4 linked regions of the Tamandua tetradactyla genome follow. The protein of the gene in region 3 purifies or fractionates together with the protein of the main gene of each other region. This does not show direct contact. Links are inferred from orthologs where the notes say so. Each region holds a gene or a part of one and is shown on either strand. Other genes may lie near its edges.

What was found.
Region 1: the proteins of SLX4 (region 3) and PGAM5 purify together in Homo sapiens (affinity purification with mass spectrometry; 4 studies listed by BioGRID and IntAct, with this or other methods). This does not show direct contact. The link is inferred for Tamandua tetradactyla from reciprocal best matches to the Homo sapiens genes SLX4 and PGAM5.
Region 2: the proteins of SLX4 (region 3) and TOPBP1 purify together in Homo sapiens (affinity purification with mass spectrometry; 3 studies listed by BioGRID, with this or other methods). This does not show direct contact. The link is inferred for Tamandua tetradactyla from reciprocal best matches to the Homo sapiens genes SLX4 and TOPBP1.
Region 4: the proteins of SLX4 (region 3) and RTEL1 purify together in Homo sapiens (affinity purification with mass spectrometry; 3 studies listed by BioGRID, with this or other methods). This does not show direct contact. The link is inferred for Tamandua tetradactyla from reciprocal best matches to the Homo sapiens genes SLX4 and RTEL1.

The regions. Positions count from the first base shown.
Region 1 is NC_135331.1:1,082,981-1,090,351, reverse strand, and holds the start of PGAM5 (serine/threonine-protein phosphatase PGAM5, mitochondrial), read left to right. Parts: upstream 1-4,368; 5' UTR 4,369-4,384; coding exon 4,385-4,575; intron 4,576-6,247; coding exon 6,248-6,426; intron 6,427-7,371. UniProt on the Homo sapiens protein: Mitochondrial serine/threonine phosphatase that dephosphorylates various substrates and thus plays a role in different biological processes including cellular senescence or mitophagy. Modulates cellular senescence by regulating mitochondrial dynamics.
Region 2 is NC_135341.1:77,439,790-77,447,759, forward strand, and holds the start of TOPBP1 (DNA topoisomerase 2-binding protein 1), read right to left. Parts: upstream 3,017-7,970; 5' UTR 2,867-3,016; intron 2,287-2,866; exon of another isoform or gene 2,263-2,286; 5' UTR 2,256-2,262; coding exon 2,172-2,255; intron 244-2,171; coding exon 109-243; intron 1-108. UniProt on the Homo sapiens protein: Scaffold protein that acts as a key protein-protein adapter in DNA replication and DNA repair. Composed of multiple BRCT domains, which specifically recognize and bind phosphorylated proteins, bringing proteins together into functional combinations.
Region 3 is NC_135349.1:53,706,591-53,713,809, reverse strand, and holds the start of SLX4 (structure-specific endonuclease subunit SLX4), read right to left. Parts: upstream 3,012-7,219; 5' UTR 2,903-3,011; intron 2,897-2,902; exon of another isoform or gene 2,706-2,896; intron 2,663-2,705; exon of another isoform or gene 2,557-2,662; intron 2,479-2,556; exon of another isoform or gene 2,079-2,478; intron 2,042-2,078; exon of another isoform or gene 1,802-2,041; intron 888-1,801; 5' UTR 501-887; coding exon 167-500; intron 1-166. UniProt on the Homo sapiens protein: Regulatory subunit that interacts with and increases the activity of different structure-specific endonucleases.
Region 4 is NC_135327.1:61,106,705-61,113,745, forward strand, and holds the start of RTEL1 (regulator of telomere elongation helicase 1), read left to right. Parts: upstream 1-4,020; 5' UTR 4,021-4,250; intron 4,251-4,996; 5' UTR 4,997-5,131; coding exon 5,132-5,233; intron 5,234-6,273; coding exon 6,274-6,469; intron 6,470-6,851; coding exon 6,852-6,945; intron 6,946-7,041. UniProt on the Homo sapiens protein: A probable ATP-dependent DNA helicase implicated in telomere-length regulation, DNA repair and the maintenance of genomic stability. Acts as an anti-recombinase to counteract toxic recombination and limit crossover during meiosis.

The sequences.
Region 1 (7,371 bases), on a different chromosome or scaffold from region 3:
GGGACAATCAGAAAGCTCCCAGCCAGCAGTATTGAATGGGGATTAAAGGACATGGCTTTTCCAGGATCCACCACAGATTCAAACTGGCACAGAGTTGCTATCTCATTGTCTTCTTGATTTGCATTTCCCTCATAGCTAGTGAAAATGAGCATCTTTTCATGTGCTTTTCAGCCATTTGTATTTGTTCTTCAGAAAAGTATCTATTCATATCCTCTGTTGATTTCATAACTGGGTTCTTTGTTGTTGAACTGTATAATTTTTTATGTACACAGGATTTCAAGCCTTCAGCCAATATGTGGTTTCCAAATATTTTCTCCCATTGAGTTGGCTGCCTCTTCTTTTTGACAAAGTCCTTTGAAGCACAGAAGCTTTTATGTTAAGGAGTTCCCATTTATCTATTTTTTTCTTTTGCTACTTATGCTTTAGATGTAAAATTTAAGAAGCTACCTCCTGTTACTAAATCTTCTAAAAAATATTTTTATTGATAAATCTTCACACACATTTTATATATATGGTGTACAATCAGTGGCTCACAATATCATCACATAGTTTTGTATTCATCACCATGATAATGTTTTTAGAATATTTTCATCACTCCAGAGATAGAAATAAAAAGAAAAATGAAAAAACTCCCTTACCCCTTCGTCTTATTGACCACTAGTATTTCCATCTACCCACTTTATTATACCCTATGTCCCCCCATTATTTGTTCATTTTATAGCCATATTTTTTTTACTCATCTGTCCATACCCTGGATAAAAGGAGCATCAGACACAGGTTTTCACACAGTCATATTGTAAAAGTTATATCTTTATACAATAGTCTTCAAGAATCAAGGCTAGTGGAACACACAGCTCAACAGTTTCAGGTACTTCCCTCCCACCACTCCAATATACCATATATTAAAAAGGGAAATCTATATAATGTGTAAGAATAACCTCCAAGATACCCTCTTGAGTCTGTTTGAAATCTCTCAGCCACTGAAACTTTATTTTGTCTCATTTTCTCTCTTCCCCTTTTTGGTCAAGAAGGCTTTCTCAATCCCTTGATGCCGGGTCCTAACTCATCCTGGGATTTCTGCCCCATGTTGCCAGGGAGATTTATACCCCTGGAAGTCATGTCCCATGTAGCGGGGAGGGCAGTGAGTTCTCTCTAAGTCAAATGCTGAGTTGGCTTAGAGGGAAAGGCCACACCTCAGCAACAAAAGAGGTTCTCTGGGCATGACACTTAGGCCTAATTTTAAGTAGGCTTACTAGCTTTTCCTTTTCAGGAATAAGTTTCATGGGGCTGAACCCCAAGATTGAAGGCTTAGCCTATTGATTTGGTTGTCTCCACTGCTTGCAAGAATATCAGAAATTGTCCAAATGGAGAAATTGAATATTTCCTCCTTTCTCCCCAGTCCCCCAAGGGGACCTTGCAAATACTTCTTATTTTTTAAAAATATTTTTATAGCCAAATCTTCACAAACATACAGTTCATACATAGTATACAATCAGTGGCTCACAATATCATGACATAATTGTGTATTCTTCACCATAATCATTTTTTAATGAAACATAACCACATACAAACACAAACATTCTTATCATATGATCATTCCATTCTGGTTATATAATCAATAACTCACAAAATCATCACATAGTTGTATATTCATCATTATGATCATTTCTCAGAACGTTGAAAATACTTCTTGATCCACTTCCCAAATTACTCTGGGATGTATCAGGGCATCACACTAACCTGTAGAAACAAACAAGAGCTCATGCCCTATTCAAGATTCAATGTACTTATGGTGTTCAACTAAACTGACCATACAAGTTAAATTAGGAAATGCACTACCCAAAATATAAATTTCGCACCAAATAAACAGCTCTCCCCTTGTTCTCACACAGAAGTTGAAGTTTTAAAATATAGATGATATCATCCTTTACCTTGTATTCTAAACTACCTTAGTATCTTCATATCATTCATATATCTACTCAAAATTAGATCCCTTTTTCAACTTTTTAAAACAGTTCCTGTATCGGAACTGCTGACTTCCATAGCTTCAGAGCTCTAACTCTGAGTCTCAGATGTCACATAAATAGGATTTCTTCAAATGGCTGACTTTTGATTGTCAATTCATATTTAGTCAAATATTAATCTCCACATGCAGGGGCTGCATTTGTTAAATGGTGGGCTTCAGTTTTGTCCAGGATCACCCATTGCCAATCATTAAGGTCTTTTCTCTTTCACTGTTCAGTTTCTCCAGAGAAGAAGTTTCTAATTTCTGCTTGGGGGAAGGTAGTGGTGGAGCATGGTGTAAGACTAATGGCCCAAATCCTTAGGGACAACTGGAGGAAAGGGATTGGAGGTCCTACTATTCAGTACGTGAATTTCACATAATCCCATTTGTTCTAGTTTGTAAGCTGTTGGAATGTGATATAGTAGAAATGCAACAGCTTTAGAAAGAGGGATTCTGTAAAGTTGCAAGTTCACAGTTCTAAGGCCATGAAAATATCTAAATTAAGGTGTGCAGGGAAAGACGCCTTGGTTCAGCTTTCTCTCTCAGCCGGAAAGGCAACTGGTAAATGTGGCCACATCTGCTAGCCTTCTCTCCAGGCTTCTCGAGTCATGAAGCTCCCTTTAACTCCAAAGGTCTCTGGCTGCGTGGGCTGTTAAAGCTTTTTCCAAAATGATTGCCTCAAGCAAGCACCTTGAATGGGTAGAGACACATCTCTGTGGAAACCATCTAATCAAAAATTACCACCCACGATTGGGTGGGTCACATCTCCATGGAAATGATCAGAAAGATCCCACTCAGCAATACTGAATGAGGACTAAAGGACATGGTTTTTCCTGGATCTACAAGAGATTCAAACTGGCACACCATCTTTATTTCTGTACTCCATCTTCTGCTAATGTCTGGTGTCCTCAAATCTGGAGTCCTTCTGGCTCAAGTCCTCTGGAATGAACAGTGTAGATGAGGTTTTCACCTTAAGTACCAGCGAAGAAAAGGGTGTGGAGGGCAGCTGGCTCCTTGCAGATGTCCAGCTGGTACTCCTGCTTTTATTTCCACCCCCCACCCCCCTCCTCAAAGGTACCAGGGCTTCTAATTCCTGAGTCTTTTCAGGAACCACTGGACTAAATGAGCTTGCTTCTTGGCTTACCTCTGGGTAAGCAGGTGTTCAGTTTTCTCAGGTCAATAAAATTCTGCTTTTCTACTTCAAAATTTGTTCACAGCAATCTCTGGTATTGCCTGGTCTTGTGGATTTTTCTTTGTTCTTATGGATTTAAGTGTTTATTTACTTTACTGTCCTTTTAGTAGTGTTTCTGGAGGGGGTAGATATAAATGTATGGGTTTAATACATCATCTTCAGCAGAGGCCTGGGTAATTCCGTGGGATTGAAGTAGGGAAGATTCCAAACAACACCCAAGAAAGCACCAGAGCCTCTGAGAAGTGGATAAAACTTTTATTGCCCTAGCAGTCTCAGAGGACTCCTGTCCAAAGTTTGAGCGCCGAATAGTCTTTGTTTCCAGATTTATAGGCTAGTGAGCAGGGTGGGAGTTACTAAGGTAACGGGCCGTAAACACTGGAAAAGTACAGAAACAGAACTTGCAGGGGAGAACAGCAGAGCTCTTCTGGCTGATACCGGCAGCTCCTGGATGTGACAAGAACAGGTCTAGCAGACATCCTGTTTTGCACGCCACTATCTTCGGATATGCTTAAGCCTGGACGTCATTAGCAGCACAGCAGACATCTGTTTTTCTTCCTTCGAGAAAGCTTGCATTTATATATATTTATAAATGCAAAAATTTATAGAGTGATGCACACAAATATACAGAGTAATACACATTAAATGCATAAAGTGATACACATGCATGCATAAAGTTACACAATACTGACGTTAAACTTGTAAACTACCTCAGGATGAGTTCATTCTCCAAAACCAGAGTGATTTAAAAAAAAAAAAAAGGCCGATCTTGTCTCGTCCCAAGTTGAAAGCCAGCAGAGGTCCCCGTTCACTTAAACTAAACCCCGCGGTACCGGAGCAGGCCCGGCCGCTGCGGCTTCGCCCTCACCCTCCTTCCTCCCCTCAGGACACGGCTCAAGGGCCGCCCCGGCAGCCCTGCCTGCGTCTGGCCCACCACCCCCACGTCTCATCGCTCAGTCTGCTCCGCCTCTCTGGTCCAGCAGCGCCGGGCGCCGGGTACCGGCCACGGGCCTCCCGCAGAAAGTTCCGAGAGGGTCTCGGTGAAGCGAGCAGGGCGAGGCCGCCTCTTCCCGCCGCCGGAAGCCGCCGGCGCCGGGCGGAAGCGAACGTCGGGGAGAAGCGTGTCCCTCGCGGTGCGCCGTCGGCGCCGGTGAGCGCATGCGCGGCGCTCTGCGCGGGAGCGGGTCGGCATGGCGTTCCGGCAGGCGCTGAAGCTGGCGGCCTGCGGGCTGGCCGGGGGCTCGGCTGCCGTGCTCTTCTCGGCCGTAGCTGTGGGGAAGCCCCGCGGGGGCGGAGACGCGGGGCCACGCGCCCCTGAGCCTCCGGGTTGGGCCGTAGGAGTGCGGCCCGGGCCCGGGGTCTGGGATCCCAACTGGGACAGGTGCGCCGCCCGGGGAAGGGGGATGGGGCCGTTCTCCGGGGAAAGGGGCAGGGGCGGCCTCTGGATGGGTCTTGGGGGAAGGGGGGGAGGGGTCCGAAGCGCGGAGAGCGTCCGCGCGGAGGGAGCCGGCCTGTTGCCGGGCGGCGTTCTCTTCCTCAGGTGGGAGCGGTTGCCTCGTGCCCCCGGCCCAGGTGTCTTACGGTTTATGTTGTCAGCTTCAGGAAAGGGAGGGCAGCACGCAGCCTGAGTGATTTTGGGCGACCCTCAGCTTTCGCGTGTGTACAGGGTCCTTGTTTCAAGCAGTTGGTGAAACTAGGAGAGCGCGGCACCTCACCATTCCCCGAGGGGTTAGTTTTAGTCTAGGACAGAGGCTCAGAACACTGGAAGGCTGACACCCTTGTTGTTTTCAACTTTTTTTATCTGGGAATTGGCCCGATGTGTTGACAGCTAAGAGAAAGAGTTGGACGTCCGAGTCCTAAGATAGATTGCATGCTGGGGCAGTGAGTGATCTGACCCTAAAGGGGGACTCTGCAGAGGGATTTGTGTGAATCAACCTCCTGTTTGTGGGACGATGTGGCTAGCAGGTCTTGTGAGTTGAAACACGAGTCTCTGGGCTCAGGGTCTGGTGTCGCAGCCGCTGTTCTCGCAGCCGCTGGTCTCGTGCTTTTGGGCACTTAAAATGTGATCATTGTGATTTAGGAACATATTTTTAATTTTATTTAAATTTGAAAACCAAAGGAGTACCCAAAAAACGTCAATATTGATTATATATTGGAATGATAATGTTTTTGTTATATTGGGTTAAATAAAATATTACTGAAACTTCACCAATTTCTTTCTTTCTGTTTTTTTTAATACATGGGCAGGCACCGGGAATCAAACCCGGGTCTCTGGTATGGCAGGCGAGAGCTTTGCCACTGAGCCACTGTGGCCTACCCTCACCCATTTGTATTTACTTTTCATATGTATCTATTAGAAAATAAAATAGTATTTGTGTTGCTGACATATTTTTACTGGATGGAGCTTGGCCAAGGGGCAAGGGTGGCTGGTGTGGAATGGTTTACCCAGTTCCTCTCCTCACATTTGGTACTTCAGTCCCAGGCACAGGAGTATTGTTTATTGTGAGTACAGTTTTGACAGGAATTTTGATATCTTTTCAAAAAAAATTTTCTTTTTACCTTTAACTGTAAACTATTTTAGAACAGTTATAAATTGAGAGAAAAAATGGAAAGGTAGTACAGTTTCCATAGATCCATACCTAGTTTCCTCACTATACTCCTTCATAATACCTGGTTTCATTTTCTCTGTATCATTTATTGGTTACTGACATTGTTTTTTTTTTGGGCAGCCATCTGTCTCTCCTTCTTGGAACCCAGATTGCCTGTGCATACACTTGTCTGTTTTGTTCACTGTGTGAACGGTTCCTGGAACAGACCTGGTTCTCACTCTGTGGGATGAGTGACTTGTGCACTGAGAGGCTGGGTTCCCTGGTGATGATGGCAAGGCCCCTAATGAGTGACGGAGGCCATGACCTCTTCCCATGCACGCTGAAGTCTGAAAGATTGCTCTTCCCAATTAGTCTGACAATTTGGAAGTAACATGTGGTTGAAAATAATCGAAGGTGTGTTGTAACCAGGGGTCATGGGGACAAAGCAGTCTATTTTAATATTAGGCGAGAACCACTGTCTCTCATCAACCTGCGGAAAAGAAACCTGGAATCTGGAGAAGAAGAACTGGCGTCCAGACTGGACCACTGCAAAGCCAAGGCCACACGACACATCTTCCTCATCAGGCACTCCCAGTACCACGTGGATGGCTCCCTGGAGAAGGACCGCACTCTGACCCTGCTGGGTATGTGGTGGGGGTTTCACGAGCCTCCTGATCCCCTCTGGTCCACCTCTTAGTGGTGCCCGTGAATCTGTGTTGCAGACTCACATGCCTTAATTAGCAGTGGAGCCTCGCTGTGACCCAGGATGTACCTTTTAAAATGTCCTTTAACCCAAGAAAAAGATTGATAGATTTTACCTGAATGTGGTCAGATTCATTGCACACGTGAGCGCAGTGTGTTCTTCCCTTTATGCTCTCAAGAGCATAACCTATCCTGTTTTTTGTTTTTTTTACTTAATATGCTGAAGAACCTTCTATTCAGATCTTACACATCTGTCTGTTTATGGTGTTTAGCTGTATAAAATCTAACCAGTCCCCACTGTAGGTGTATTGACGTCTTTTTTTTAAATATAGTTTTATGTATTTTTAAATGAGAGAAGTTGTACTTTAACTGAAAAATCATGTGCGTTCACATATAATCCTCCCATTATTAACACTTTGCATTAGTGTGGTACTTTTGTTACAATTGATGAAAGAATATTATAATTGTACTATTAACAACGGTCCATAGTTTACTTTAGGTTGTATTCCCCCCCCAATATACACCCTGTTATTAACACTTTGCTTAAGTGTGATACATTTGTTATAATTCGTGAAGAAATATTTTAATAATTGTACTATTAACTATAATCCATTGTTTACAATAGAGTTGACTGAATTGTACAGGCCTATGCTTTCTTTTATCTTTTAATTTTTATTCTGGTAATGTATATGACTTAAAATTTTCACTTTTTTAATGTAATTTTATTGAGATATTCACATGCCATAAATTCATCCAAAGTATACAATCAGTGGCTTACAATATCATCACATAGTTGTACATTCAACACCATGATCAATTTTAAGACATTTTTATTACTCTAGAAAAAGAAATAAAATGAAATAGAAAACCCAAAGTATTCCCTACCC
Region 2 (7,970 bases), on a different chromosome or scaffold from region 3:
ATTAATAATTTGTATAATATATCATGACCACTAAATAATTTACGTTCACTGAAGCAAAAACAAACAAAAATAGCAGACAAACAAAGAAAACACTAGATATTAGCAAACCTTTCTGAGATGATCAAAGACAGAACCACTAAACGGGTCACAGATATAAAGCGATCTATCATTCTCCTTTATAGTCAATGCCTCTTCTTCTGTAATAATCTGAAGATATTCTTCTGATTGGAACTCTTTTATTGACTGAAAGAAAAATAAAATATGAATGCACCTGAAATTAGTCACCTGTATTTAAGTCCTATCAACTCTGTCTTTAAAAGCCATCTCAAATCCAGCCTCTCTGCACCTTAATTGTTGCCACCCTACTTGTACACTATCATCACCTCACCTAGACCTCTGCAGTAGCCTCCCTAGTGGTCTCCCTCTCCTTTCCTTGCCCTAAATCAATTCTCCATATAGCAGCTAGTAATATTTTTTAAAAAACAAACAAGATCATATCACTCTGCTCAAAATCCTCCAATGGCTTCCCACCAGACTCAGAATAACAGTCTATGAGACCAATCTGGCCCATTTGTCTCCCCAACCTCACTTTCTACCTGTTTCCCTTCTTGCTAATTCTAGCCAGTCCAGCTTTCTAGATGAAACTGAAACAAGCTAAGTACAATCTCATTTAGAGGCTTTGCTCTTGTTCCTGCTGCCTGTAATGCTTTTTGACTGGTTTGATCCCTCATTGAAGCTAGGACTCTGATCAAATGTCACCTCCTCAGAGATGTCTTTCTTGACCGTGCTTTCTAACATCATTCCCTCATGTCTTTGGTCTGTTTTATGAAACAAATAAGATGGACACTATGTATATAATTTTTTGCCTCTCATCCCCCTAAGAACAAAAATTTCATGATCCATCTTATTTGCCAATATATCCTAGCACCCAAGAAGCACTCAATATTTTCTCAACAAGTTTCGAAGTCCTTATGTTAAATACTTAGAGTGATCCTTTTAAAATGATAAATCAGATCATGTTATTCTTCTGATTAAAACCCCCTAGTGGCTCTCCACTCTACTGAGAGAAAAGCCAAAGTCCTCACAACAGCCCACAAGGCCCTACAAGGCCTCTTCGCCCTTACTCTCAGAAGTATCCTTTAATATACTTTCCCTACTCCCGTTCACTCCCTATAACCACACTAACCTTCTTACTATTCCTTAAACAGATACTTCAAGCCCATATATCTTCCCATGGGCCTTTGCACTGGTTGTCTCCTTGCCTGAAACCTTCTTTCTCAAATATCACATAACTATCGCACCACCTTCAAGTTTACTCAAGCATCACCTGCTCCATACAACCTACTCTAATCACACTATTTAAAATCCTAACTTTCCGTTCTCCTTCCCCCTAACAAACATCTTTTGGAATTGGCTAACCTGTTGTGATTTTTTCCCCCTCTTTCCATAAAACTTAGAATCTCCTGCTAGAATGTAAGCTCTGAGAAAACAGGGATCTTTGCCTGCTCTGATCACGGATGTATACCAAGCACTACAACAGGGCCTGCAAATCACACACACTCCGTAAATATTTGATGAATGAATGAACTATAAGGAAAAACCTGCTACATCAGTGTTTCTCAAAATTTAATGTCCACAGGAATCACACAGATGATCTTGTTTAAATGCAGATTCTAATTTCTAAGTCTGCAGTGGGAACAGAGAGTTTTCATTTCTAACTCCCAGGCCACGCTGATGCTTCTGGAGTCTGTGAGCACCGAGGCTCCACACCACCTGTACACCCTATGTTATGCTGTACATAATGAAGCATGCATTTAACAATTAAACAAAAAAATGCTGATGTGTAACCAATACAAAATTGAATGAATGCTTTTCCACACACAAGGACCATTGGTTAGGAGACAGAAGGTAACTTGATTTCCAAAAACTGCAAGTCAGCCACATCCAAGAGAAATGTCATAATAGTTTCAAGCCCTCCAAAATACACAATGATATACCTATCTATAGCAATTAAAAAATAGGTAACAATAATCTCTACATTTCATGGAGGCTATGGTAGAACTATTATGAAACATCTATTACTAAGGCAAAAAGAGCCCAATAAATCAAAAGTACTAAAAACAAGAAAATTAATTCACAGCGTCAAACAAGACATTTTCAACTATTCTTACCTCAAGAGCTTTAAAAAAACATTCGGAATTGTCTGGAGATTTTAAAAACTTCACAAAAAACGGTTCTTTGTCATTTCTGGACATTTTTGAACTGCCGAAATAAAGGAATCATTAACTAGAACAAAACACATCACATGTGAAATTAAAATTTTAGAACACCTATGTTTCTGTGCAAACAAGAGTTCCTAAGGATAGCCATTCTGGCCTTCCTATATATTTGTCCTGCACGTTTGTAAGGAATTTGGGTAAAATCAAGGAAAAAGATGACACCAATCCTAGCAATTCAGAAAACGAAGCTAAGATCCCCAAACTGAATGCTTCGAGGAAGGGCCCTTGCTGTGAGGGCTCTAAGTCCCCTCAGCAAATGACATCCGATTGCACACAGCTTAAAGATCCTCAGAGGATACCACGACCCTCAAGGATTGTTTACCCCTCCATCAAAAACGGATTTTTCCATATGAACAGGGAAGCCAAACAGCAAGATCAAAAAGCCAGAAAATCCGCGTCCCTGCTTTTAGGGAAAGGCCTGACTCCCGTCCAGCCGCAGTCACGTCCTCTCGGCGTCAAAGTCCCACCCGCCGATTCGAGGGCCGGTTGGACCCGCAAGAAAGGAAGGCCCCGCAGGCCCCAGGGCGCGTTGGGACCCCTGGTTGGGGGCAGGAAGGAGCCAGATCCTTACTCAACGCCGCACTCACCTCGATGGAGCCTGGGGGCCTTCAAGAAAGGAGTGGGGAGGCGCGCGGCCGGCAGGACAGCGGCGGGGGTCGGGCGCCACCCCGGGGCTCAGCCACCCCACCCCGCGGCGCCCCCAACCCGGAGGAAACGCCGGAGAACCCGGAAATTGCCGGACAGTGAACCGACTTTCGCGCCAACCGCGGCTGTGCGACCGCCTCTTCCGGCGGAAGTGACCCGACCAGCCGCTGCTACAGGAAGGCGGGAGACGTAGAAAGTGAAGTAGTTACGGCGCGCAGCCGAGGTGGGGCGCTGTGCCCGGCGGCCAAGGATTTACCCGGAGGATTGGAGCGAGGCTCCCGGATTGAGGGCTGTGCGGGACTGAGCGGGGCGTCACTCAGGGTTGGCCGAGCGCCCAGGATTCAGGGGATGGGGCTCACGAGAGCTTTTGGAGCGTTAGCGGGGGAAAAGGAGTGTTTTCCCAATAGACATTTAGTTTACACCTACCGTAGGGAGGCAGTGCTCGAGAAACCATGCATTACCATGCAAAACGACTTTGTGAGCCAGATAGTGGCATCTCCATTTTACAGATGTAACAAAATGAGGCTTATAGAAGTTATCTGATGTGTCCAAGGTCACGCAGCTAAGGTAAGGACTGGATCCAAGTCTTTTTGATTAGGCTTTTTCTCCTCCAACATAGCAGGAGTAAATCACCTCTTAGGGCTCTGAAAGCAGGAAAGATGGCAAAATGACTTGGATTACACAGTGAATGCATGGGTGGGAAGGTTTGCCAAGCTCTTCGATGGACTCTGCCCCCTTCCAAGGCTGTCCCTTTGTTTTTGCACCTGCCTGATTGTTGGGGAGGTTCTGTGATGGAACCTAATGGTAAAATGGAAAAGAGCAGAAAAGGAAAGAAATTGGACTTTTAGAATCTAAGCCCATGCATAACCAGTGAAAAACTGCTTAGCTAGTGCTAGTTCTTATTTTATTCTTGACTATTGAAATAGAGAAGATCATAACTTTGGATCTAGTAGTGTGAGATTTTAATGTCATGTGCTTAGTTTAGTTAAGTTTGTTTTTCGTTTTAGAAACAGTGAGGCACTTAGGTCCAAATGTGTGAATACACCCACAGAAGGTGAGTGAGAGTCAGTATCTTGGGGCTCAAAGGTAAAGGTCCATGGTTGAGGAGAGCCTTAAAAACAAAAATTACTAAAGCCGGGGGAGTGAGGGGAGAGAAGCCATAGTTACTTGTTAAGATGCACATCTGTCATATAGCTATGATAACAGTTAACATTTGTAGGGCATTTTACAGATGACAGAGGCTTCTGCTTGCGCTGTTTCCATTTGCTCTTTTCAGCAATCCTACAGTATGTGGGCATTACTGTCCCACATTATGTAGATGGGAAATCCAAGGCTTAGGCTGTGTGACTTGTCCAAGGCCACACAACCAGGGAGTGGCAGCACCCAGTCTTGAGAGCAGGTAGCGTGACTGGAAATCCTTCCCAATCCACCACACTGCTCTGGGTTCCATGCTGCCTGCCCATCTCAGTACAAAGGTCAGCAGCCCACAGAAGCCCATTTCTGGCATTTATGGGACTAAGTGGAAGCCTCACGGAGGAGGGAATTCTAGATGCTGGAGATGAGGAGGAAAATAAAAGCAACCCCTCAGCTTTTAGCAAACTGGAATTCCATAGCAGGGGGAGTCAACCTGGTCTTTACAATAGGAGACCGCCACCTACTGACAAGTTCTCTTTTTTTTTTTCCAGAAACTTGTAATTTTATTGAGATAGCATCAATGAAAGATAATTAGACCATCTTAGGATCCCAGATTATTTAAAAGATCTAACTAATTTAAGGCAGTCATAGAAACGGGAGAATGATGCACTACTATATGGTCTAAAAACGTTCACTGGCAAAAAGGCAGAACACTGATTTGCGAACAGTTCAAAGAAAATCTTACAGACAAAAACAAAACCAGTTCTGGTAGGGAGGGGGGACTCGGTGTCCTGCTGGCATCCGTGGCCCTCCCCTATCCCCTACTTCCTTGTCCCCTACCTTCAAAGGTGTGTGATTTGAAAACTACTTTCCTAAGTTAAGGGGCATGTGCGTCCGCAAATGAGGACAAGGATAAGCAAGTGAAATGTAGGCAGTGGTTCTCCAAGAGTGATCACCTGCATCAGCATCACCTGGAAACTTGTCGGAAAAACAAAAATTTGGGGGACTGACTAAGTCAGAAGCTGCAGGGAGGGCCCAGTGATCTGTGGTTTAACAAGACCTGCCCCGGAGATTCCGATGCCCATTAAAGTTTGCTTCAACAGCAATTCTTTGGAGAAGGGTGAGTGGGTATGTGAGTTGTGGTCCATGAATGAGGAATGTTTGTGATGTGCTCTCAGGCAGCCACCTCAGGAGCTAGAATTGGAGATTAACTTTCCCCTCACCTGCCCAACGAACCCTGTTTCTCTGGCACTGCTGTCACCTGCAGCCAGATGTGCCATATACAGTTTGAGATGGAGTAAGGGGAATTTTATATTGATCTGTGTTTAGAATGAAAAGCCTAGGAAACAAATGTGACAAAATTGTGACTTTTAAAATATGGGTAGTGGAAATATGAGTTTTTACTTCTTGTTATACCTTGCTGCATAGAAAAGATTTCTCAAAATGAGAAAAAAAAAACTAAAAATAGATGTTTTGAATGATATGACTTTATGTCTCAATTTCCAGTTCTGTGAATGAATAAACATATATGCATAAATAAATGTATAATTTAAATATGAAAATAGCAAAAGGTCTTTATTGCTGCAGAAATGCAATGGCAAAACATTTGTCTAAACGTTTGATTTCAGTAACCGGGAAGAGAGAATATAGGCTTACTGAGCTGCTAAGGTCTCGAAAGAGGAGAAAATTACAATGTCAGCGGCACATTTGGATACTACTGGCTGTGTTTAATAAAGTATTATAAGATAGAGAAAACTCAGGGAAGAATTATCCTGTTTTCAAACAAAAATAGAAGGGGTTTTCAAGGTTGGAAAAGCTAACTTCACGTGAACCATAAAAACAAGAGATATATCTGAGAGAGGTTTTGAGTGGCAAAGGTCCATTAAGATCCATGCATGTGGAAAAGATCTAATTAAGAGTGTGGTCCTTCAGGTGAGCTAAAATATATATATATATAATGGGGGGGATAAGGGGTTAAAAACAAATTGGGTAGATTACAACACTAGTGGTAGTGAGAGGAAGAAGTAAGGCATATATGGGTTTTTTTATTTTGACTTTTTATTTCTTTTTCTGGAGTGATGCAAATGTTCTTAAAATGATCATGATGATGAATGCACAAGTATGTGATGATTCTGTGAGTCATTGATTGTATACTTTGGATAGACTGTATGTTGTGAAAATGTCTCAATAAAAATATAGAGTGTGGTCCTTTCACTCCAGTAGATTAAGTGAGAGAAGGAGTTATGGGGCCAAGAATAGAAAGCAGACTTGAGAGTTGTGTCTAAGAAAGATATGATGTGGGTGTGGCTGCAAAGATATAGGCCCAGCCCTGCCATGATGTCCTGGTGGTTTTGCACATATCCTTGTAGGCAAAGGCTTGAATGGCAGTTTATTTCAGTCTTGGCAGAACATTTTGTGATCCTGCTAGAACACGAGAAGATGGAAAGTTTCTTAAGGAACTGCTACAATACCATCTCCCACTTGTCTCCATATCTCCCTCGAAGGCTGTCATGAGTTTCTCGTCACCTCCCAGGTTCTGCTGGGATAAGGGTCTGCTTGCCCACCCCACCCCCAGACTAGAACAGCAGAATATCAAACCACTTAGCTACTGTCCAGATTTGGCTCCTCAGCATGGAGTATCCCACAACTTACACTGTAGTTAATCAACCCCTTTTGTTTTGGTGTCATCCCTTTTGGTGTCTAGGACAAGAATCCAGAGCCCTGGCACTTTGGGCTTATTCTTATTTTCACTATCTGTGTAAGTAATCTACGGTCTAAATCTGTAAGTGGCTCATTACATCTTTACGCATCAAATCAGTCAGGCTTTGCCCTGACCTTGTCTTGTGAGTTTGACAACTACAAAGCAAAGCTAACTAGAAGCAAATGGATTTGAAGGTTACTAAGATTTTGAGATAACTGCTTTGCCAAGGAAACCTGGAGTACTCAACTGTGATACAACCTTTAAGCTTGCACAGCAGGAAGTAGATGCAGAAGTCATACAGCCCCCCAAAAGAGTAAACTCCCCAATGTTGTAAACCCTATCGGTGGGATATTCTACTCTGGTGTGCGTTCTACTGTGACTCCCAGAGTTTCCCCAGTGGCATTCAGCTCCAGTTTCCTACAGTGGCAAATGACATGTTAATACACCCTTTTGATGCCCTCTGTATTACACAGAGTTCTCCTGAAAAACGAAACAGATATATATATAATATTAAGAGATCTATTATAGGAATTGGCTCACATGACCATGGGGTTTGGCAAGTCCAACTTTCTTAGGGCAGGCCACAAGTTGGGAACTCCGTTGAAGGTAACCATGAATTTCCCAGGAGAGGCTGGCTGGCTGAATTAGTAATAGAAATTCTTTTTTCTGACTGCTGAAATCCTCAGTTCTCCCGTTGAAGCCTTCAAGTGATTGGATGAGACTCCTCTCATTGCTGAAGGAAATCTCCTTTGTTGATTATAGATGTAATCAGCCATAGACACAACTAATGATTTAAATCCACAGGATATCTGCACAGTAACAGTCAGGCCAGTGCTTGCTTGATCAAAGAATTACACACCGTAACCTACCCAAGCTGATACATGAAATCGACCAAAACACCTTCCTTTCCCTGTTTTATTTCTCTACTCTATTTACCTTTTTTTTTTTTTTTTGGTTTCCAAATATAACACTTAAAATGCCTCATCTAAGAGTCTGCTTCTGAGGAATCCAAGTTAAGACAGAAGACCCAAGATTTCTGATCACCCCCCTTTTTTGTTGTTATTTATTTATTTATTTTTTGTATGTAGCTTTATTTATTTTCTTTTTCTGATCCTCTATTGTACTATAGTGTTGTTGCTAAGAATTAGCTGCTCAGCCAGAGATGTTATTTTCCATCCCTTACATCTTGCGGGAGTCATGTGACTGAGTTA
Region 3 (7,219 bases):
CTCTGCAGAGTTGAATAGTTGTGACAGAGACCATATGGTCCCCAAACTTTGAAAATATTTACTTCCTGGCTCTTTTCAGAAAGTTTTTCAACCCCTGGTTTAAAGTCATAGAGGTCACTTTGGTTTCCTCTCTGGAAATGTTTGGCAGTGGCTCCGGCCCAGTTACCTGTCTGGGTGCTGTGCTGATCCCCCGCAGGAGCAAGCACATCTCTCTCCCCATTCGCAATGGGAGCTGCTGCCCTTTCTTGTAACTTGGTGGCCCTTGGCCTTTTAGTCTGCGGAGGCCGGCTGCCAGACCGAGGTTTCTTCTCCTTGGGGCCTTGCAGAGTCTCCTTCTTGGTAGTTTGTTGGGACCTTTTCAGTTTGCTTCTCGTCTGAGTGCTATTTGAGGCCTTTTGTGTCTTTTTTTCTTCTGATACTTCCTTGTTTCCATTCTTTTTCACCCTTTGGAAAAAGCTGGCACAGAGTTCTTTAAAATCATCATCAGACTCATCCATCATGTGACCAGTTTTAAGGCTTTCAGGCTAGTTCCAGGGGAGAGAGAACTGATCTGGGTTGCATATACACAGATGAGAAAGTGAACCCAAGTACCAGGCCTCCTCCAGACTCACAGCTTCATTAGGGTTCCTCTCTACTTTTCACCGAGAGTCTGCACAATTGAGCAAGAAATGCTGCTTTCCCCTCCATCATAATTTAGAATGTCTTTCTTCAAATTGGGCCCATGGTTAAACATGTTTTAAACTTCCCTTTGTTAAAATTCATATTTGAGAGAATGTCTTGTTGTCCTTTAGATGTCTCTGAGACAGAATAGATACAAACTTGGTGCTCAGATGATTCTCCACTATCGCCACGGTGATGAGGAAGGCTTGGCCCACTGAATTTCATATCTGTGGAAAACCAAAAGCATCTATTTGTAATTAGACAGCTACTGCAATTTGATGTTATTTCTCTCAGGAAGGTACATATGGGATATGGGAAAAGTCTTCAGATACTAATACACCATCAAATACTCAGGTATAGACTGGTTAACAGGCTAATCATCCTACGGGATATCATAGTACAACAGAGAAAGATCTGGGAACCTGTCATAGCATATTCTTCCACAGGCAGAATAACACATGGGTCATCAAAGAGTATTATTTTTACAAAAATTTTGGAAATGAACCCCATGAAGAGCAGTCACCCCAGAAACAAGATGGTCCCCAAATCCAGAAAAAACGATCTCCTATGCTGATCTAAGGCCCCTGGCTTTAGAGGCTCTATTGGCTGACATTGAAATATTAGAGAAAGAATAAGCACTTGAACTCTCAGGAGAAAGCAAACAGTAGGAACACAGGAAGGAGAAGTGATAAAACCAATTTTTTCCAACAAAAAAGATGCCACTTTTCTCCATCCTCTCAGCCCAGCAAGGGCTTCCCCAACTCAAAAGATGAGAATGCTGCTCAATGCAGAGGTGGTGCAAATGAGTAAGATTATTTACTTTGGTAGTTTAGTGGGGCTCAAAAATCAAACTCAAATGATCCAATGGTAAAAAATTCTTAATTTCAAATACAATAATGCAATCTCCACTGTCCAAGTAACACAATCATTTAGTTTTCCAGAGCTGAGCAGACAAATATACCCAGAGTTACTCTGCATAGCTGGCTCATTCTTATCTTCGATGTCACCTCCTTAAAGAAGTTTCTCCTAATTCTTTATCTAAGTGGATCCCCTCCACCTCCCACCATCACACACTGTTTTCTCCACAGCATTTACCACGAGTTATAGACATGTGTAACTGATAACATTTATGAATGCTCACCGTGTGCCAGACATCATTCCAATTGCTTTAGAAGTCTTTAACAATTTTAGTCCTTACAACGATCCTAGAAGGCAGAATCTCTTGCCATCCCTCCTTTACAGCAAAGACACAGGTCCAAAAAAAGAATGAATAACTGGCTCAAATTCACAGAGCTTTTAAGTGACAGGGCCGGGATTAAGCCTGTGGAGGCTGCTTCCAGAGCACCTGTTCTTACATTCTTATTCATTTACTTATTATCTGTCCCACTGAACTGAGAACGTCAAGAGGGCAGACTCACCCATCTTATTTTGTTTTCCCTTTGGCTGATACATGTAATAAGTGCGCGACAAGGATTTCTTGAATGAATTAACTGCAAAGAGTTTGGCATAACCGGAGCCAAGAGAAAGTGCAGGGAGAAGCAGGGATCAGCTCACAAGGGACTGGAATGACAGGCTAAGCAAACTGAATTCTAGCGCGTCGGCTGTAGGAGAGGGTTAGAGCCCATTCCACCTCCTTTACAGCTGCACCGAGTCTTCGCACCTCTGCAGATACTCGTCTTAAAACAATCCATCTCCTATATGAGCTCAGTCAATATTTGCTGTAAGACGTTAACGGTTCCCGAGAGACTGGAGGCTTCCAGAGGGTCGGGACCATCTCCTACCCAGCTGAGGAGCTCCCGCGGCGTCTGGCCCACCGCGCGCGCGGATGAACGAATGCAGGGACGAGTACCCGGTGGACCCACCCCCTCCCCTTCCACCATCAGCCCGGCGACATACGGAGGGAGGCCGGGGGATCGGCCTGGGGAAGGACTGCCAAAGACCCTGACGGCTGTAGAGCCAGACGGAGAATTCCGATCGCGGTGAACCCTCCGGACGCCAGGAAGACCCTCGGGCTGCGGCCGCGGGAGGTGTCCGGGTGCACCTACCCTCTCTTCCTCCTGGCGGGTCCCGACCCCTCGCCGCCCGAACGGCACTCCGGCCTCTCCACCGCGGCTGCGGGCCCGCCGAGGCCAGGGAGGTAGAGAGAAAGACGCCTCTCCCTCAGGACGCAAGCGGGGCCCGAGGTGACAGCGCCTCCTCCTCCCGGGTGCAGGTCCCAGCCCCACAGCCCAGCCCCTCCTACTTCCGTGCACCGCGGCGGCGCTTCTCAACGGAGAGCCACGCGCCTGCGCATGCGCCGCCTGGCGCCCTCGCGGAGAGTCCTGTTTCTGCAGGCGCGGGGTGGTGTCAGCTTCCCATCGTCCTTTGCGGCCACGGGCGCGCGGGATTGTGTTTCCGGCTGCGCGGGGCTGAGTTTCCGACAGAGTCTGTGACCGCCGATCCTTGATGGTGTTGTTGTGTGTTGAGGGAAAAGCTGGGTGAGTTTTGGGGCGTTGTTGCAGTTTTAAGCTCAAGTTTGGTTCTACCACAGTTCACGTAGAAGATGTTTGGGGCTTCAGTGGGGCCCCTTCGGAGCTCCTTTCCTTGAGGAGCAAACAGGAGGAAATGCAGTGAGGGGATGTGAAGAGGCGCCGAACGCGGTCTGAAGGGATCCCAGGTGGATTGGGGGTGGGGGTAGCACGTGAACTGAGACCTGAAGGTGATATCCAAACTCATCAGTCTGGCTGGTACGAAAATTGTCAAGAATTTGAAGGAAAGATGAAGCTGTAGAGGTTCGTCAGGGGCTGAAATTCGTTTTACGGGTTTGAACTGCAACCGGACGGGTCGCTGGGTGTCGTTAAAGATACTGTTTTTAAAGGATGTTCTGGTCACAGCGTGAAAACGATTTGGGAGGGATGCAGGTGTGGTTCAGTGGTAAAATGCTCGCCTGCAACCCGGGAGATTCGGGTTCTATTCCTGGCCCATGCACCCAAAAAAAAAAAAACATTTGGGGGACCCAAGGCATGAAGACCCATTGGGAAGCGCCCTAACCTAAGTGAAAAGTAAGAGCGACCTGATTTAGGGGTTAGACTGTAGGGGAGTGGAGAGAATGGAAGAGTATTAAGGTGGTAGAATTGTCATGACCTGATTATCTCTTACAATTTGTAGGTTTCTGACCTGAGCATCTGGGTAGGCCCAGTCAACAAAATGAACACAGGAGTAGGTTTGGAGGAAAGATACTACGTTTTGGGTTTTGTGGGGTTTTTTAAATATGTTTTTTTATATACCATAACTTTCACCTTTTTAAAGTGTTCATTTAAGTGGTTTTGGTATATTCAGAGTTGTGTAACCACAACTCTTTATTCATCTGTTGATGGCGTTTGGGTCTCGCTGTTTCCGCATTTTGGCCATTAGGAATAATGCTGCACTGGACAATTGGCGTGGAAGTTTCTGTGTTTTTCCTTTGAGCATACACCTTAGAGTAGACTTGCTGACTTGTATTAAAATTTACTTTTGAGTGTTGAGTTTCAAATGCTAATAGAATTGGCAAGAACTTTTTCTGCTTGGAGCTAGGTGGTGTACTCTGTTGTCTGGTAACTTATCAGTTTGTAATGTGGTTTCCATACGGAATAGTTAAGTAGACAGTGCAGAGACATGGACTGGGACGATACAGAGGACAACTGTAAAGGTGTAGATTATTTTTTCCAGTCAAAGAAAATGAGGGATCTGACTCCAAATTAGTACTTAAATCTCTTAGAGGTACAATGAAGAAAGCTTCCTTGCTCACCCAGCACTCCTCACCCCCCAAAATCTGGCCGTGTTGTTTTTTAAGCAAAATGAGTTAAAGATATAGTTTAGAGAGGGGCATATTCCTTAAACCTGAGATTCTCAACTGACTGGCCCATGTTTTTGTGGTTTAATTGGAAACACTTGGACACTACTCTTAGCTCTGCTGGTTAAATCTTGGGGGAAAGTTTACAACCTGTGTCTTTTGAAAGTTTCACAGATGATTCTCATGGCCTCTAGATTAAGAATCTAGATGTTTAACCAACATCTAGATGTTTAACCAACATCTGCTGAGCAAATTCTGTGGGCTAAGTATAGAAGAGATGCGACGAGATGCTTAAAGGGGGTGAGGAGTAATTGCAATGTAGAGCTAGATGTGATTCATGATTCCCCCCTTCAAGGAGCAAAGTTATTCAGTAACTGGGGCAGCTTTCTGTTTGACCCAAGGTGAGCCATATGAACCTCCTGTTGTGATTTATCTCCAGCAGAAGCTCTGGATTTCATGCTTTTCCCCTGGAATTAGGCACAAGTCACCCAGTGTGACTAAGCTGAGGGACATGTTCCAGAAGCAGCATTACTTGAACCATGTTAGTTCAGAGGGAATGCTACTATATATTTTCTGCCAGCATGTGAGGCAGAAACCCGCAGAGCTGCCAAAACACTGAAGCCAAGGAGAGGATGGAACATTTCATATTTTAAAAGATTGGGATTATCCTCGTTATTTATAAACCTTAAATATTTGTCAGAAAGAGAAAAAGGATGCAGAAATGTGTGGAAAAATTTTTGCACACTGTAAAGAGTGTTAATACCAAGGAGAGATTCTTTTTCCGAGCCCTTATGAATAGATCATTTTGGGGTCCAGGGAAAGCAGGCAGAGGTTGAATATATATGCTGTGATTATCACTTCCTTACCCTCCTGGAGTATTGCCTTTTTGGAAGCTCTTTACATATTCCACTGAGTTAATGTTTAAAACTGTTCCGAGAAAGAAATGAAAGGCCCTTTTCCCAGTTCTTTGGGTAGCTTGTAAATCATAAAAACAAAACCTGCCCAGCTCCCTCTCATTTATCTTGGCAGCGATTGGGAATAGAGGACAGATTGAAAAAAGGAAGAATTGTCTTTTCAGGTCTGTGGTCATATAAACTCATTTATTTACTGTACAGTAATCCCATTTCCTGCACTGCCAACGTTCTTGAAAACAGGAGGGGAAATAACTGTTTTTACATGTCACGGTGTACAAAAAGTATTCTAGATTATGCTGCATAACTCAGTATCTTCTACCAGTAACACCCTTTGTATGAAGTTCTACTTAGGAGTTTTGCTAGATGGTTTTAAGGGGATTCCATGCAGATGTACTGGCCTCAGCTGCAAAACAGCTTTTCCCCTAGTATTGATAATGGTACTCATAATTTTGATGTTAAACTGTTCCATCTTGTTAAGATGGCAATATTCCCCAAAATGGACTAGAGATTCAGTGCAGTCACTATTAAAAATCCAACAGCTCTTTGTACTAAAACGGCAAAGCTGATCCTAAAATTCATATGGGATTGCAAGGGATCCCATATCTATAGATTCAACCATAAAAAAGAATGAAGTTCTGATAACATGCGACCACATGGATGAATCTTGAGAAATTTAAGTGAAAGAACCCAGACAGAAAACACCACATATTATGATTCCATTTATATGAAATATCCAGAATAGGCAAATCCATAGAGACAGAAAGCCAGGGCCTAGGGGGAGGGTAGAGTAGGCGTGATTGCCGTAATGGATATGGGTTTCCTTTTGGGGTGATGAAAGTGTTTGGGAATTAGATAGTGGTGATAGTTAGGCAATTGCAACTACTGAATGACACTGAATTGTATGCTTTAAAATAGTCAAGTTTATGTTTTGTGTATTTTACCACAATTTAAAAAAGAATTTTTTCTATTAGACTTTGGAAAGATCTTATTTAGAATGGTTTAAGGCCTTCTGGGTACATTTTCTTACTTTTTGCAACAGCACCTTTTAAAATGTTAAGCAATCCATGTACGATTCTATAAATATACTAAAAACCATAGAATTAAACACTTTTTTAAAAGGGTGACTTTTATGGTATCTTAAGTATATCAAAAAAGCTGTTTGAACAAATTATAAATAATAATAGGTAAGCCAAAAATAAAATTAAAAATCCATGCCTTCGCTCTTACAATATGCTTATTTTTAATGATTATAGTAATGGCCTTTTATTTAAAAAATAAAGTACTTCAAAAGAAAATGAATCGCCTCCTTCCACCTTGTTTTATTCCCCCCTCTCAGAGGTATCCGGTGTTATGTTTGATGTATATCTTTTCACTTCTATCTGTATTTTCTTATAAGAATATAAACTTTTTCTGTTAGGTATGCTTTTACAAAAATGGAGTCATACTATTCACATTCTGTATTTTGTTTTTCTTACATATCATGAACATTTCTCAAAATCATTAGAGAGAAAGCTATGTTATATTCCACATTCATTCAAGTATTCCCTTACTGATAAAAATTTGGTATCCTTTATAGTTTTTGTCACTATAGATAGGGCTGCAATAAACGTCTTGTACATATATTGTGTGTATTTGTATTTATTTCTATGGGAAAGAGTCCCAAACATAGGATTGCGGGGTTAAAGAGTATGTTTGTTTTATCGTTTTACCTTTTGTTTTGGAAAAGGTAATACAAGCACATTGTTAAAAAAAAAAAAGTTTTTCAGGAACATCAGAAAAATAAAAAAAGCTCTTCTCCCTTTTGGCCCCCAGTTCCCTAGACTCTCAGAGATTT
Region 4 (7,041 bases), on a different chromosome or scaffold from region 3:
ACTTGGGTATGCTGTGTATCTGGTCACTATCGTGGCCCCAGGAGCTGTTCTGTACTGTTTCTGGTTATTTAGTAGTTGGTGTGGAGGACGAACTAAAATGTGCACGTTGTTAAGCCGCCATCTTGACCTGGAAGATCCAAGGAACTGAATTTTGCGAGGAGCAAGAGTGAGCCTGGAAGTAGACTCCTCCCTAGAGCTTCCAGGCAAGAATGCAGCCCAGCTAACATCTTAATTTAGGCCTTGGGATGATGCTCTGAGCTGGCTCCAGACCTACAGAACTGTGAGCGGACACACAGGTAATGTTTTAAGCTGCTAAAGGGGTAGCTACTGGCTATGCAGCCATAGTACACATATTGACCCCAAGTCCCCCAACCCGCCCTGGGCACTGAGCTTGGGAAAGAGCCAAGAGGCAGAAGACACACACAGATCTGTTTATCCCGTGGTGTGTATCATGGGGGAAGTGACCTGTGTCCTCCGTAAAGGGCTGCCAGCCACTGCGGTGTCCACGGAGACTGTCCCAGCATCATGTGCTGGGATCAGGACACCTCCAGAGTCTTCCTGTGTGGGCGTGCAGTGGGAAACTCCTGCGACTTTGGGCACGTCCTCTTGCAGTCCCTGCTTCCTCATCTGGACCACAGGAAGCCCAGGCATAGTGCCAGACATATGGTGGGTGTACATAGTAGGTATACACTGAATGCTTGCCCAATACAATGCCAAGTCTTGGAGCAGATTCTTACTTCCTGCCAAGGTCGACTGTAGGAAATTTGTGAGCAGCTGTTCAAAGATGTTCCCCAGGAATGACTCTTTGTAGGTCAGGTTTCTACCTGTATTAGGGTTCTCTAGAGAAACAGAATCAACAGGGAACACTCACAAATATAAAATTTATAAGTGTCTCATGTGACCACAGGAACGCAGAGTCCAAAATCTTCAGGGCAGGCTGTGAAGCTGATGACTCCAATGGAGGGTCTGGATGAACTCCATAGGAGAGGCTCGCCAGCTGAAGCAGGAAGAGCCTGTCTCTTCTGAATCCTCCTTAAAAGGCTTCCAGTGATCACATTAAGCATTACTCATTGCAGAAGACACTCCCCTTTGGCTGATTACAAATGGAATCAGCTATGGATGCATTTGGCATGATCATGATTTAATTCTATGAAATAGCCTCATAGCAACAGACTTGTCCAACCAGACAAACAGGTACCACCACCTGACCAAGCTGACACATGACAGTCCACCCCTTGTCAACTTGGCAGCTATACATACCACCCTAAACCATACCTAATTTCTAAATAAAAAACAATAAAACATACATTTTTTCTTTCACCTAACAATACTCAACTGTCTTGCAAATAAATGGAAACACATTAAATCTCTCCAGAATAGGGTGGGCTAGGAAGTGTGCCTAAAGCCGAAGGATAAATGACTTTCAGACTTTGAAATCAATGGTGTTTGCCCTGATGGTTTTCCTTCCAGTTTCTCCCTATGGATCCTGTGACTGTCCTCCTTTTGCATATTGGCACCAGATAACTTGTTTTGAGATTCATAGGTCCACAGCTAGAAGAGAATTTTTTGCACCTTAATATTGTTTAAGGTGATGCGTATAGTTGCCAAGTTGACAATGGGTGGACATGTGCTAGTTAGATTCAGTTGTCAACTTGGCCAGGTGAAGGTGCCTAGTTATGTTCCTGTGGACATGAGCCAATGATACGTGAACCTCATCTGTTGCTCATTACATCTGTAGTCAGCGAAGAGGCATGCCTGCTGTAGTGAATGATGTTTGATTTAATAGGCTGGTGCTTAAATGAGAGAGCTCAATGTAGCACAGCCCAAGCAGCTCAGCATACCTCATCTCAGCACTTGCAGCTCAGCCCAGGCCTTTGGAGATGCAGAAAGAAAATACCCCGGGAAAAGTTTTTGGAACCCAGAGGCCTGGAGAGAAGGCCAGCAGAGATCACCCTGAGTCTTCCCACGTAAGAAAGAACCTCAGATGAAAGTTAGCTGCCTTTCCTCTGAAAAACTAATGAAATAAATCCCCTTTTATTAAAAGCCAATCCATCTCTGGTGTGCTGCATTCCGGCAGCTAGCAAACTAGAACACTACCTGAGCTCCTGAAACTAAGCCTAGCACCTCCCAGGAAGACCCTGCACTTGGCTGGTCACCTGATCATTCAGCCAGTGAGCACCTGCTATGTGCTGGGCTGGGAAAACATCAGCAAATAGCCACATATCACCTCTTCAGAGGCTTTCTGTGACTTCATTCCAAACAGTACCTGCCCCTTCTCACTCTCAGTCCCCTAACCCTGTGTCATTGTTCATGCAAGCACCTATGAACCCCAATATGTTGTGTTGTCTGCTTACTGCCCACCACCCACATGACCAGCAAGGTGCCCCCCACCTTCTGGTCCTCCACACTCACTAGATCAGGTGCAGTGAAGCGTGAAGGAGGACCTGGACCTCCCACAGGGCAGCTGGTGTCTCAGGAGGCAGTCCTTGGGGCCCGGCCAGGATGGGAAGCAGCAGTCCCTGATAATCCCAGGCCAGGGCAAAAGCTCCTAGGGCCACTGGCAGCCAACAGACCCCAGACCTGCTGCAGACTTTCCCCTGCCTGGTCTTCATCAGGCACCTTCCACGACAGTCACATTTCACCCTGATGATCCTCCTCTTGGCCGGGCAGTCCCTCTATGGCTCTTAGTGTCTGCTTCTGCAACTCTCAGTCACCTCTTGGGCTTTCCTTGGGCTCTGCAACATTGGAGTGCCTCTCCCTTGTTCACCACTGACTCCTCCCCAGTGCCAGCAACACTGCCCCAGGCCAGCATCGATTCCCAGGAAGCCTTCCCTGGCCTACAGATAAGGTTAAGCCCCCCCGCCATGGTACTCATCCCAAAGGGTCGCACAATCATGGAGTGACTGGTTAACATCGGTCCTGCTGGCCAGAGGGCACCCTGTGTGCTCAGGGAGCTCCCCAGAGCCTGCAGAGTAAGTGGCTTGCCAAGCGAAGCTGGCTCTGGTCTGCTTTGGTTTTCCCTATACCTCATCTCTCAGGTTTAGTTAGGTTTAGTAAAATGGCATTTATGCATTTCATCCCAGGAGGCTGCAGGCTGCTTGGGGTCCCCATGGAGCCAGAGGAACCCCCTCGTGACCTGTACAGCATCTACTCAGGAGCTTGGGGCCCTCAGCTCTGGGAAGCGGCCAAGTCTCTGGAGGAGGCCTCCCTTCCTGGACTTCTGGGGAATGGAAGCAACTGCTCTTGGAATAGGGGGGAGCCAAGGGGAGAGGTGGGAGTCTGGCTCCTCAAATTGCTAGTTGCTGGCTTTGGGGACCTGCTAACTGTGCGTGCTTCCTCACCTGTAAGAGGTTCTTGGGAGGAGGAATACCAATGCCTAAGTGGATGGCCCTGAAGCCAGGTTCTGGTGCCTGATGAGCATTATCTTTTCCAAGCTCCCTTCTGAGATTCCATGATCGACAATCCCAAGTCCCTTCACCCAAACAGGCCAGCTGGGGTGGATACCAGGGCTTCCCCAGACATGATGACACACGTGGGATCTGCAGGAGAGTCTCTGGACGCTCAGTAGCACCCACCAGAAGTTCTGATTAGTGTTTCCAGCTTGCCAGAGCTCTCGCTGCGGCATTAGTCTTTCTGGTGCCTTTTGGGGTGGTCTGAGACAAACATCTCTGGTGGCAACAGCCGAGCAGAGAGCACATTCCACCAACTGTGTAGACCCCTCTCCCCCTGGGGAGGGGGGGCGTCCCTCCCGTTCACTCCAGCGCACACTAGGTGCTGAGGATCACCGGGGGCCTGGCATTGACAGTAGGGGAGGCTGCCTGCAGGAATGACAGGAGCTGCTGAGGCTCTCAGGGGCCTGGTTACAGGCCTGGGCCGCCACAATTGCCCTCCATGACGCCCTCACACTCCAAGAGGGGAAAACCTGGCAATGGGGTGGCTTGTCCCCTGCGGGGGGGTGGCGGAAGAAGCCATGGTGGGAGGTGACATCGAGGGAGGAGACCGTGGAGCACTGTTTCTGCCTGTCCCGGTCGCGGAGCTCAGGACCAGCGAAGACGGCGCGACGCCGGGTCGCTCACATCACAGACGGATCCTGCGGCTCGGGGAACGGTTTCCGCCGAGAGCATTTCGCAACGGACCGGAAATGAGGGCGGAAATACAGCGCTTCAGTGACTGCGCATCTTAGCCCGCCAAGTCCGAACTTGCTGATAGCCGAGAACGTGGTGGCGGCGTTCGCACCGGAGCTGGGTGAGGTACTGGAGCCTCTCGGGCCGCGCGCCGCGGACACCCTGGAACCGAACCGAGCGCTTGTCGGCGGGTTGGGTTTCCGAAACTGTATCTCCCCGCAGGGCCTGGCCCTCGGGATCGCGGGCAGGCGGCCTTATGGGGCCGGTAGTTTTCCTGCGCTCGTCGGTTCACCGGGCCGTACGTTTCCTTCCCTGGAGGGAAAATCTGCTGTTCCGAGTTTAGGCGTCTGCTCTGTTATTCCCAGTTTCTAGACGAGTCCGAGCGTAGAGAAGTTGAGCGACTCGTCCAGGGTCACACAGATTTGAGTCCCGGGTCAGAGTACAGGTGGCTACCGCGCAGCAAAGGTAGCAGACTGCTGGGGAGACGCTGGAGCAGGAGGGTCAGACGCTCCACCCTGCCTGTCTCCCGGCCCTGGTAGGGGAGGGCGCTGCTAGGTCCTCAGCCTCCCCCACACTTGTGGAAGTGAGTGAATTATTGCTGATGGGGCAAGTTGGTAGAGTTGAGCCCGACTTGGGCTCTCACCATCCCAGTGAGACTGGCCACCTGTTCCAAAGCGGAATGGAGTTCTGTGTGGCCGGGGCTGACTCAACTTAGCATCATCACTTCTGAAACTCCTTGTGATGGTATATAACAGGGCCTGCCCTCTGACCTTCTCCATGGGGAGGCACTTCTTGGGATGACTGACACAGTAGCCTGGTACCCAGAAAGGCTGTTTATAAACAGTCTTGTTGTCCCTATGTCTGTGCCATAGGGATTCCTGTGAAGAACGTGTGTCCCAGCTCCAGGTGCTGGCATCGCTTACCTGAGATTTTCAGGAGTGTTTTGTCTCACACACCTGAACAGTCTGCATTGCAGCCAACCTCTGCTCTCCTGAGAACAGGCTGGTATGCCCAAGATAACCTTGAACGGTGTGACAGTGGATTTCCCATTCCAGCCGTACAAATGTCAACAGGAATACATGGCCAAGGTCCTGGAATGTCTACAGAAGGTAAAAGCCATGAGCCCTACAGACACTGGGCCCAGGGGATGGGTCAGCTTCAATAAAGGCCTGCTGAAGTTCTACCTTCCACTTTGTTCAGACTAGGTCCTGCTGTGTGGAAGGTACTGTCCTGGACATTGGGGACCCGGTTGTAAATAGGGCCTGTGTTCTAGTTGGGGTAGAAGAGATGATAAGTAAAGAAAAAGGGACTGTCTTGTGTTGATAAGTGCAGTGAACACAAAAAACAAGGTGATATGTTTGAGTGACTCAGGCCCTCTCTGAGGAAAAGGCTTGAGCCGAGGCGCATGGTGGGAAGCAGCCAGCCATCCAGAGATCTGGAGGAAGAGCCAGAGAGGGAAACAGTGTCAGTCCTCACTTTGGGAGGCCTTTAAAACTTGTATGTGTTCAGGAAGGTGAAGAAGACAGGTTTGCTTTCTTCTTGGTTTCTCAGTCTGTCTCTTGTACCCTGCTTGGCTTCCCCCAGCCGCTAGGGACTGGTTCTGCAATCAGCAACACCTGTGACTGGTTCACATGTGACCCATGGGCTCCTGAGTGCTGTGTGTGCGCAGTCTTCTGTAATGAGGAGCCCAAGTTCCATTCTCGTGGCAGCTGGGAGCTCAGCTTTTGCAGAAATTGCCTTCATGTCCCCCTAAGTTTCCTGATTGGACTCTAACCTGAGAGCTTGTATGTAGGCCATCAGAATCAGATTCCTTTCAGATAGGGGAGTGCAAATACCAGAATCACAGAACTATTTCCTATTTTGAGAGTTGGCACCTAATTAGTCATCTTCCTATTTATATTAGGTTGAAAAATACTGTCACATTTTGGATAATGCTCTGAAAATTGTCTGCTAATGAGGGCTGAATCAGCTTAGGCTTTTGGAATGAGAGTAGAAAATGTAAGATGGACTTCGCCATGTTGCCAGGGGTCTTTTGCTGCCCACAGAGCCACTCGCAGAGCTTGTCTCAGGCTGGTGTGCATGGCTCACAGGGTCTCTTTGGTCTCCCCTCCCCCTCCCTCTCCATAACATCATCCCTGTCCCTTCTCAGAAAGTCAGCGGCATTCTGGAGAGCCCCACAGGCACAGGGAAGACGCTGTGCCTCCTCTGCACCACATTGGCCTGGCGGGAGCATCTCCGAGACACCATCTCTGCCCACAAGATTGCTGAGAGGGTTCAGGGAGAGCTATTTCCTGATCCAGCCTTTTCGTCTTGGGGGAGTTCCACCGCCAGTGGAGAGACCATAGGTGATGCTTCTTCCCAGGCCCTCTCTCAGACTGCCATGTGGGGATGGAAAGGGGAAGAATGGAGTCTGGGTTGGGTGAGGCCCCTGGCTTCTGCAGTCCCTTGAGCAGAGCCACGCATAGAAGATTTCGTAGGTGCCACATCATATCTCGCCATCCAGGGGTAAATGTTGGGTCAGAGGTTTTTGCTGAGTTAGGATAGTACAGAAATCCATATATACTGTTTCTGGAGAATAATTATCTGGGGTAAAAGAGTCCTAGTGTTTGCAGGACTGAGTTAGCCAGATGCCCCTGTGGCAAGCAAACACTCAGGACATCTACTCAGAGTTTTGTGGTCCCATCACTGACTGACCACAACCTGTTGTGCCTCTTTGTGCCTGGGCAGCTTGCTACACGGACATCCCAAAGATCATTTATGCCTCCAGGACCCACTCGCAGCTCACGCAGGTCATCAGCGAGCTTCGAAACACCTCTTACCGGTGGGTGAGGAGGCCACTCACACCTGCCTCAGGGTTTTCAGGAGAGTGGACTCAGCCCAGTGACACAAGTGGCCCAAACCTGAGGGCAAACGGTGC